Linked DNA regions of Caenorhabditis elegans. The protein of the gene in region 2 purifies or fractionates together with the protein of the main gene of each other region. This does not show direct contact. Each region holds a gene or a part of one and is shown on either strand. Other genes may lie near its edges. The genes, in order: F54D5.4 and ZK1320.3.

Region 1 (3,856 bases), 1.9 Mb from region 2:
GCATGATAGATGTCAAATGCAAATTAATCCGAGTTTGAAAATAAGCAGGAGGAATCTGTTGACCTCTCTAGAATACAAACACATGAGATTTTACAGTAACGTAACTAGATGCTAAAGAATCTGGAATTCATGAACAAATATAATATGTTTTCCGTCAGAACTTATTTGAGGAAAAAACATTCGAAGAAAATGGTTTTTAAATTAAATTTTGAATATTGGCCAATTAGACAAGACAATATTTCGTGGGCCCCACCACGCCTTGAACGCGTGTACTGTAGCCTGAAAATTTGTTTAAAATTTTAAGAAATTTGAACTTTAGAAGATATTTTCTGTCAGAAAATTAATAAAATAAATAGTTAGTGAAATGAGACTAAACTATAACTTTTGTAGAAAACGTTTGAAAAATTGCAAAGCTGCCCAAAGTATATCACTCAAAAACCGGTCAAACTACCAATTTTGGCATCTTTTTTTTTTTGAAAAAAATCAGTACACACTGACAGAAAAGTACGAGCAAACAGAAAAATAACCGCCGCTGAAGGCAATTCAAATAAACGTTCGGCATTGATCCTTTGAACTGTCCAGAACAAAGGGTGGTGATTGCAACGGAGCAGTAGTCGGTAGCCGGGAGGTATAACTGAACCACGTAGTAGAATTAGAGTGTGTAGTTGAGCAAGATATTATCTATGTACCAAGTTAGCATTAGTTATTGGTAAGTAGCAATATTGATTTTTGTTATCTAAAGATCTTAAAACCACTTTTATAGTTCTAAAATCACAAAATAACACAATTAATCTCTTCAACAAGAAAAATTAATTGTTAAAAATTGAACTTTTTAATAGACTTCGTTTTTGCCTACCACAGTTCAAAGAAGTTTAAACAAGGTTTATATCTTAATTTGGTTTAACCTTTGTTGCACTCGAAACTATTCAAAAAAGATACCAATATTTTGATAATTTGGTAATTTACCAAAACTTTATTTAAATATTGCCAAAAATCTAGGAAATTTTAGTGTTTCATTAGGAAATTTGGGTATTCTATGAATTCAATTTTCATGCAAAAAAAAACAACAAAAAACAACAATAAAATAAACTTTCCTCACAAAACAATAACTTATGTGAATGAAAAATGAAATCGCTGAGAGATTTTTCCGATGAGCAGCTGTTGTTAGTCCGCGCGGAAGGGCTCACTCTCTTTAGCGGCTACCGTTTATTCTACTCAACAGGTGTATACGGTATGTCGTCCGATTTGACTAATTGAAGGTAGTCGTTCACACAGGAAAAGACACAATTCACAGATGGTATTTGTTTGCTTTTGAGGTGTGAGAAGAAGAAGATGGAAAGGGTGACTTCAGAGGTATCCCATTGAGATGCTAAAAAAAAAAAATTGATTCAATTAATAATGGCTAACTCCTGTATTGAAAAGGCAACAATTGAAAGTATTCGGCAATTTGATTGAAGTTTTGACAGTACTAGAAACATCCACGCTTATTGATAGATCTGACCTCTACAATACGTTCTGGCTCAACAGCCTGATCCAAGTGCTCGACAGGCATCTGATGTTCCAATTCTTTATCCATCACGGTATTCCACGTTTTTTTTGCTGGAGCAATCAATTGCCAAAAAAAAATAAGACCATTTTTTAAACAATATTTCAAAAAATATAGATGATGTTTTTGATTTTTTGCACCAACTCAAACCCTTACCTCTTTCAAATGTCATTTAATCAGCCAAACTTCAATTGCCACTTAGATAAGAATAATGAAATCATCGTTAGGTTTCCATATAAAAATGTATATCAGTTTGTAAAAAAACCTAGTTTATCAATGCGAAATAGGTTGAAATAGTATTTCCTTTGTATATACAGAAGATTTTTTTTCAACCTTGTGAACACTTTATTATATTTTTCGGGCACTTTATTTATTTAATGTTTTACTTCCTTAATCTGCCATTTAAAGGTATTCTTCCAACTTTGAATGCACCGTTACATCTACTAGATGTTCCGGGGGTGACTAGGGCCCCTAGCGCCCACCATAGCCAATATTGTCAATTTTTCGGAATATAACCCGTTGTTAGAATTATTTTCTTATAAGGTTAAATTCTTCCGTTTTTGGAAGTGTTTCCGGGAAAAATACAGTATTATCTTATTTTGTAGAATGAACCAAATCGTTTCTGCTTTGCTGATCTTTGCAGTCGGATACGCTACTGGAAATCGTGAGTTTCTTTTCTTGAATTTAAGAATTAATAAACTCATTTTGTCATTTAAGTTTAGCCAAAACATGTTTAGGTCGCAAATTGTTACCATGAATTTGTCATAAAAAGGTTCAGAACTTCCACATGGTTAGGGCTTAGCTCCTCTCAAATTCGAATCTTTTAAATTCCAGTTTGTACTGACGACACTGGTTATTGGATCAGTTCCCTTGCCGAAGGTGTCTCTGATTTCGCATATGGAGGAACTAGACTCAACACCAAATACTATTGCTTTGAAGGATGCTTGAATACTGGAACTGCTCTTCAAAATTGCAAAGTTGATATGTCTGGAAATAATGGCACAAGAATTGAGAGATCACGAGAGATTAAAGAAGTAATTGCTTTGCATCAACTTGCTAGACAAAGAGGTTCTAGAAGTTAAAAATGAAATTTCAATAGAATTTTGTTTAGACGAGGATCCAAATGCAAAGTCCTGTGTAGATCCAGTTTTGAGACAAGACGTCAAGAATGCTCTTCAGAAAACTACGAGAAGCAATTGCAAGGTTTGAGATTTGACTTCAGCTTCGAAATTCTGGAAACTTTGAAATCCTGATTCTCCAAATCATAATATTTCCTGCAACCTCAAAAAATTCAGACCAATATATAGCTTAGCTTACGGTTTGACCAATAATCAATATTTCACACACTTAACCTTATAAGGCCTTCCTGTGGGGCCTTACCTCTAGTCTTTTTCTCAGAACTCAGAATATTAATCAATTCTTATCATGTCAAACATTAAGTTCAATCTTAAATTGGAAAGATCTCAAATCAGATCAGATCCCCAAATTGGCTTACATTCAATTTTTTCAGAACATTGTCAACACCTTGGTGCTCAACCTCAATCGTCCAGGATGGGCGATCACTTGCATTCAATTCAATGAATTCGCTATTGATGATTATACTCCGGTATGAAATATGCCTAGATCTCATTGAATTTGAAATATCTTTCAGGACATGAACTTCTGCAGTTACGACTCTGTTTCTGACACTGATATCTTTACTATTCGTCTGGCAAAACTTGATATGTCCTAAACTATGGTAGTTTGGACAAACTTATCGATAATTTAGAGAATAAATATAATATTCGTTCAAATTTTTGATTTAAGCATGAAAAAATTAGGAGAAACTTGACAATTTAATATTAAAAAAAACCAATCTGTCTAAATTTTAAGTTCTGTCAAAAACTGTCTCCGCATTGCTCACACTTTGCCACGTTGCAATTTTCCCTTTTCTCATCGTCGTGTACGAATTTTTTCGTAATTTCTAATGAGTTATTGAGAAGTTCTGAGAATAGTTCAAATTTTAATTGAAAATTTCAAGAAGTTGCTGAAAAACTGACTCAAAGTCGCAATGTGCAGTTTGAGCCAGTTTTGAGAAGCTTCTCAATATACATTTTCGAGAAAAAACCTGGACATAACGATGGAAATATTCGATTTTGTAAGTATTGCCAATATGAGGTTAATGTTAGACAGTAGCTCTTTTTGTTTTATTTATGAAAATGCGGAAATTTGGCGCTTCAGATAAATCATGACGTCATGAAAACCTCTTCCATATGACGTCATATTTTTCGGTGTCAACTGAATTAACTTGTAGAAGGTACAAAGTCTAGG
Region 2 (3,652 bases):
CGGTCAGCACAGTGAGTGATGCACCAATTTGGTCTGAAAAGTAGAAATGGATTTTTTCATCTGGATTTGAATAATTAAATTTAAAATTATTGATTAAAAGGATAAAACAATTCTAGATCAGACACTCTGACTTTACATGAATTCTTAATTTAATCTTGAAAAGGAATATACTAACCTCACAAAATCCAATCCAGAGGATCGGAAATCTTGAATTGGAACTGCATCCTGTGTGGATTCATCTCCAACTGGAGTATAATTGCACAAATTTCCTCCTGGAGCAGAAGTTTGTTGAGCAAAAATTGCTGGAACTGCTAAGCAGGCAAGGAGAAGAAGCTTCATTTTCCTAAAAACTCTCGATAAAAATGAAAAGGAAACTATACTCAAAAACGTTTCAAAGCGAGTAGCAAATGGTCAAATTATCGGAAGTTATCAGTTAAAAACTGAAATTTTCCACATCACCGGCCTCCTCTTTTGCCAGTTGAATGTGTTGATAACGGAAAATAAAGAGTGGAAAATTAAATATTGAAAAATCACTAATGATTTCATTTTGAGAATAATAAGAATCAAATATTCAATGTAAAACTTTAAATAGTTAAATCGTTTATTAAAAATTAAAAGAAAAAAATCAATTAGCCTTGATAAGTCCTGCGAATACTTGATATGTCATGTAGGTTCCATCCGGCATTTGCTGAAAAATTTGTAAAATTTGGTGAGGTCTAATTTCTAATTCGGATACTTGCAGGTCTGGTTTTGTTGCATTTTACAACATTTTCTGAGTACTTACCTTGTTAGAAGACTTCTCACAGTAGTTCATATCGTGTTTGACATTGTCAGTCTCAATGATGCTTGGTGGTACTCCCATCTGAATATATGTATTCAAGTAGAAATAGTAGACACCTATATATTTTCCAAAAAAAAACTTGTGTAACTTACATCGTAAATAATATACGCCCATCCTGGCTTGTTGATATAGAAGTTGAGGGCTTCTGACATGGTTTCGATGTCATTGTAGGTGTTGACAATAGTATCAATCTGGGCCGACACAGCATCGTCCATACAGAAGTCTGAAATTTTGACATGTATTTATACCATAAGATGAAATCACTTACTAAAAGGATCATCGTCACGCTTGGTCGGGTTTCCGCTGATCAGCTCAGCATGAACCTTCATTCCTGAATAACGGGTGAAAGTACGGCGAACTTTGTAGGTTGCTGAAAATTCCCATTAAATTCTAGGATGTTTACTGGTATTTTCATAATGTTCCAAATGTTTTTACATGTACTTTAGTGTACTGATCTATGTTAACTTACGGACTGCAGTTGACTGATTGGCAAATTGGAAGCGAACAGCAGCTTTGACAGATTTGCGGTCAGCACAGTGGGTGATGCACCAATTTGGTCTGAAACTTTTTAAATTAAGATATTCGGCTATTTATGTGGTTCAAAAATTGGTAATCGTTTAGTATCCCACTGTTGCCAAAGTATTTTTCTGGGTCTAACTAGTAAGACCATCAAGAGTTGGCTCAACATAACTTGGCCGCGGCCTAAACCAATCATTACTAAAGCTGTTCCAATTTTTGAACATAAACTGACCTAACGAAATCTAATCCAGACGTTCTGAAGTCCTGAATAGGAACAGCCTTTTGGTTTGATTCATCTCCTTGTGGAGGATAAGTACACAAATTTCCACCTGGAGCAGACGTCTGTTGAGCTAAGATTGCAGGAACTGCCAAACAAGCAATAAGAAGAAACTTCATTCTCCTGAAAATATAAATATATGCTTCAAAAAATTTAAGTAGCAAATGGTCAAATTAGTATGAATTGTGGAGAGAGTTATCAGTCTAAAACTGACGTTTTTTAAATTATGAGCGTTTTCTTTTGACATTCAGTTATAGTGATAAGAATATTAAATAGAAAAATGGGAAAGCACTAATGATATCACTGGAAAAGTTAAAGGACAAGTTGTTTACAGATAAGTTTATGAGCATTGATTCCGGGGAGCCAGCAGCTTAACAAAACTGATTTCTTGATCCAATATTGCTCACAATCAGATGATTCAAAAGTTTATGCGAGTAAAATTAGTAGAAATACCAAATTAGTCTGATATGTTTTTCAAAATTGTTCTTCAATTAAAGGATAGACGAGTTTCTCAGAAAATAGGCTGAACATTTTCAGACTCTAAAAAGCAAGAAAGTTTTATTTGAAAGCTTTTTCGATGACTAAAATACAAACAAAGAGGGTCGAAAATTATTGAGTTCATATCCTTTGCTTCAAATGCATCCAAACAGTTTCCGGTTGAGTCGTGGCTCTTCCAACTAATTTCAATGGGATTTCTGTCTTGGTGCCAACTTCAAATGTATATTTTCTAAGAATATGAGCCAAGAGCATCTTTTCCTCCATATAAGCCAATCGCATTCCAACGCACTGACGAGGTCCTAATCCGAATGAAATATATCCTCCTTTTTGGAAAACTTGGTCACAGTTGGGGTCAAGCCATCTGAAATAATAACTAGTAGGATCTCTTACTAAATAATTTAAAAGGTGGAATACTCTCCAAAGTGATTCGCTTTTTAAAACTTTCAAAAATTAAGCCAATAATACATCTGAATATATTTTTTAATTTTGAAAAAAAAACCTTTCTGGCTTGAACTCCTTCGCATCATCTCCCCAAATCTTTGTATCAGTATGAAGACTCCAAGTATCTACTTGAACCATTGTTCCAACTTCAACTTCTACATTTCCCAATTTAGTGGCTCTCATGCATCTCCGAGAGTTCGCCCTGGAATAATTGTTTTTTTATGTGAAGTATAAATTTAAAACTCCTACATTGTTCCCAAAGGGTACAAACGTAAAGTCTCTTTGATAATACAATCCATGTATTTTAGTTTTGAGAGATGATCAAATGAAATTGATGGTTCTATGCATTCTCGTTCTATTTCTTCTTGTAATTTCTTTTGAACTTCTGGATGTGTTGCTAGGAGAAATGTAGTATAGGATAAGGATAGAGCAGTTGTATCGAAGCCAGCAATCAAAAAAACGAGACACTGACCGACTATTTCTTGAGTTGTTAGTTGACGGTTTCCCTGCAATTTTTTAAATTCAGGAATAATTTTTCTCCTGAAACTCACATAGCTACTAGTCTTTGAAAAATCCCCATTATTCTCTTGAAAATGCTCCACATCATCTGCTCTTGCTTCCAAAAATAAATCGATAAAATCCTGTGGCTCTCCGATTTCAATTCCATTTTTTCTATCATTCTCCCTCTGATCTATACGATTTTGAACGGCTGTCACAACAGTTTTGTTGACGTGAATGAAATTGGCTGCTCCCAACAATGGAAATTTCAACATAAAAAATCGAAAAACTTGAGCAAGAGTAGGAAAAACTCCACCGATGAGGGGAATATGCTTTCGATTATCTCCGAATATCTGGAAATATATGTTGAATTTCACTGGTAATAGTACCAAAACGAACCGCTCTGACAAACTTCAAAAGTGGATTTTTGAACATTTGCGAGTCGGTCTGACCCATTGCAATTCGTCCTATAGTATCCATTGTGAACTCTTGGTAGAATCTGTAATTTAAAATTTAAATTACTTTTCCAATACATCGAAAACTCACTGTAACATATCAATTTGTTGTCCCTCCGAAGT

What was found.
Region 1: the proteins of ZK1320.3 (region 2) and F54D5.4 fractionate together in Caenorhabditis elegans (co-fractionation; one large-scale study listed by BioGRID). This does not show direct contact.

The regions. Positions count from the first base shown.
Region 1 is NC_003280.10:11,567,667-11,571,522, forward strand, and holds F54D5.4 (DUF19 domain-containing protein), read left to right. Parts: upstream 1-2,151; 5' UTR 2,152-2,152; coding exon 2,153-2,210; intron 2,211-2,380; coding exon 2,381-2,614; intron 2,615-2,657; coding exon 2,658-2,749; intron 2,750-3,056; coding exon 3,057-3,152; intron 3,153-3,197; coding exon 3,198-3,278; 3' UTR 3,279-3,338; downstream 3,339-3,856. Other genes in the region: F54D5.23 (Ovule protein), read right to left, coding at 1,289-1,369, 1,502-1,576.
Region 2 is NC_003280.10:9,658,660-9,662,311, forward strand, and holds ZK1320.3 (uncharacterized protein), read right to left. Parts: upstream 1,761-3,652; 5' UTR 1,757-1,760; coding exon 1,593-1,756; intron 1,400-1,592; coding exon 1,311-1,399; intron 1,212-1,310; coding exon 1,110-1,211; intron 1,065-1,109; coding exon 934-1,064; intron 863-933; coding exon 785-862; intron 689-784; coding exon 626-688; 3' UTR 587-625; downstream 1-586. Other genes in the region: ZK1320.2 (uncharacterized protein), read right to left, coding at 1-33, 176-339; cyp-13A10 (Putative cytochrome P450 CYP13A10), read right to left, coding at 2,256-2,496, 2,635-2,778, 2,826-3,082, 3,128-3,427, 3,474-3,573, 3,621-3,652.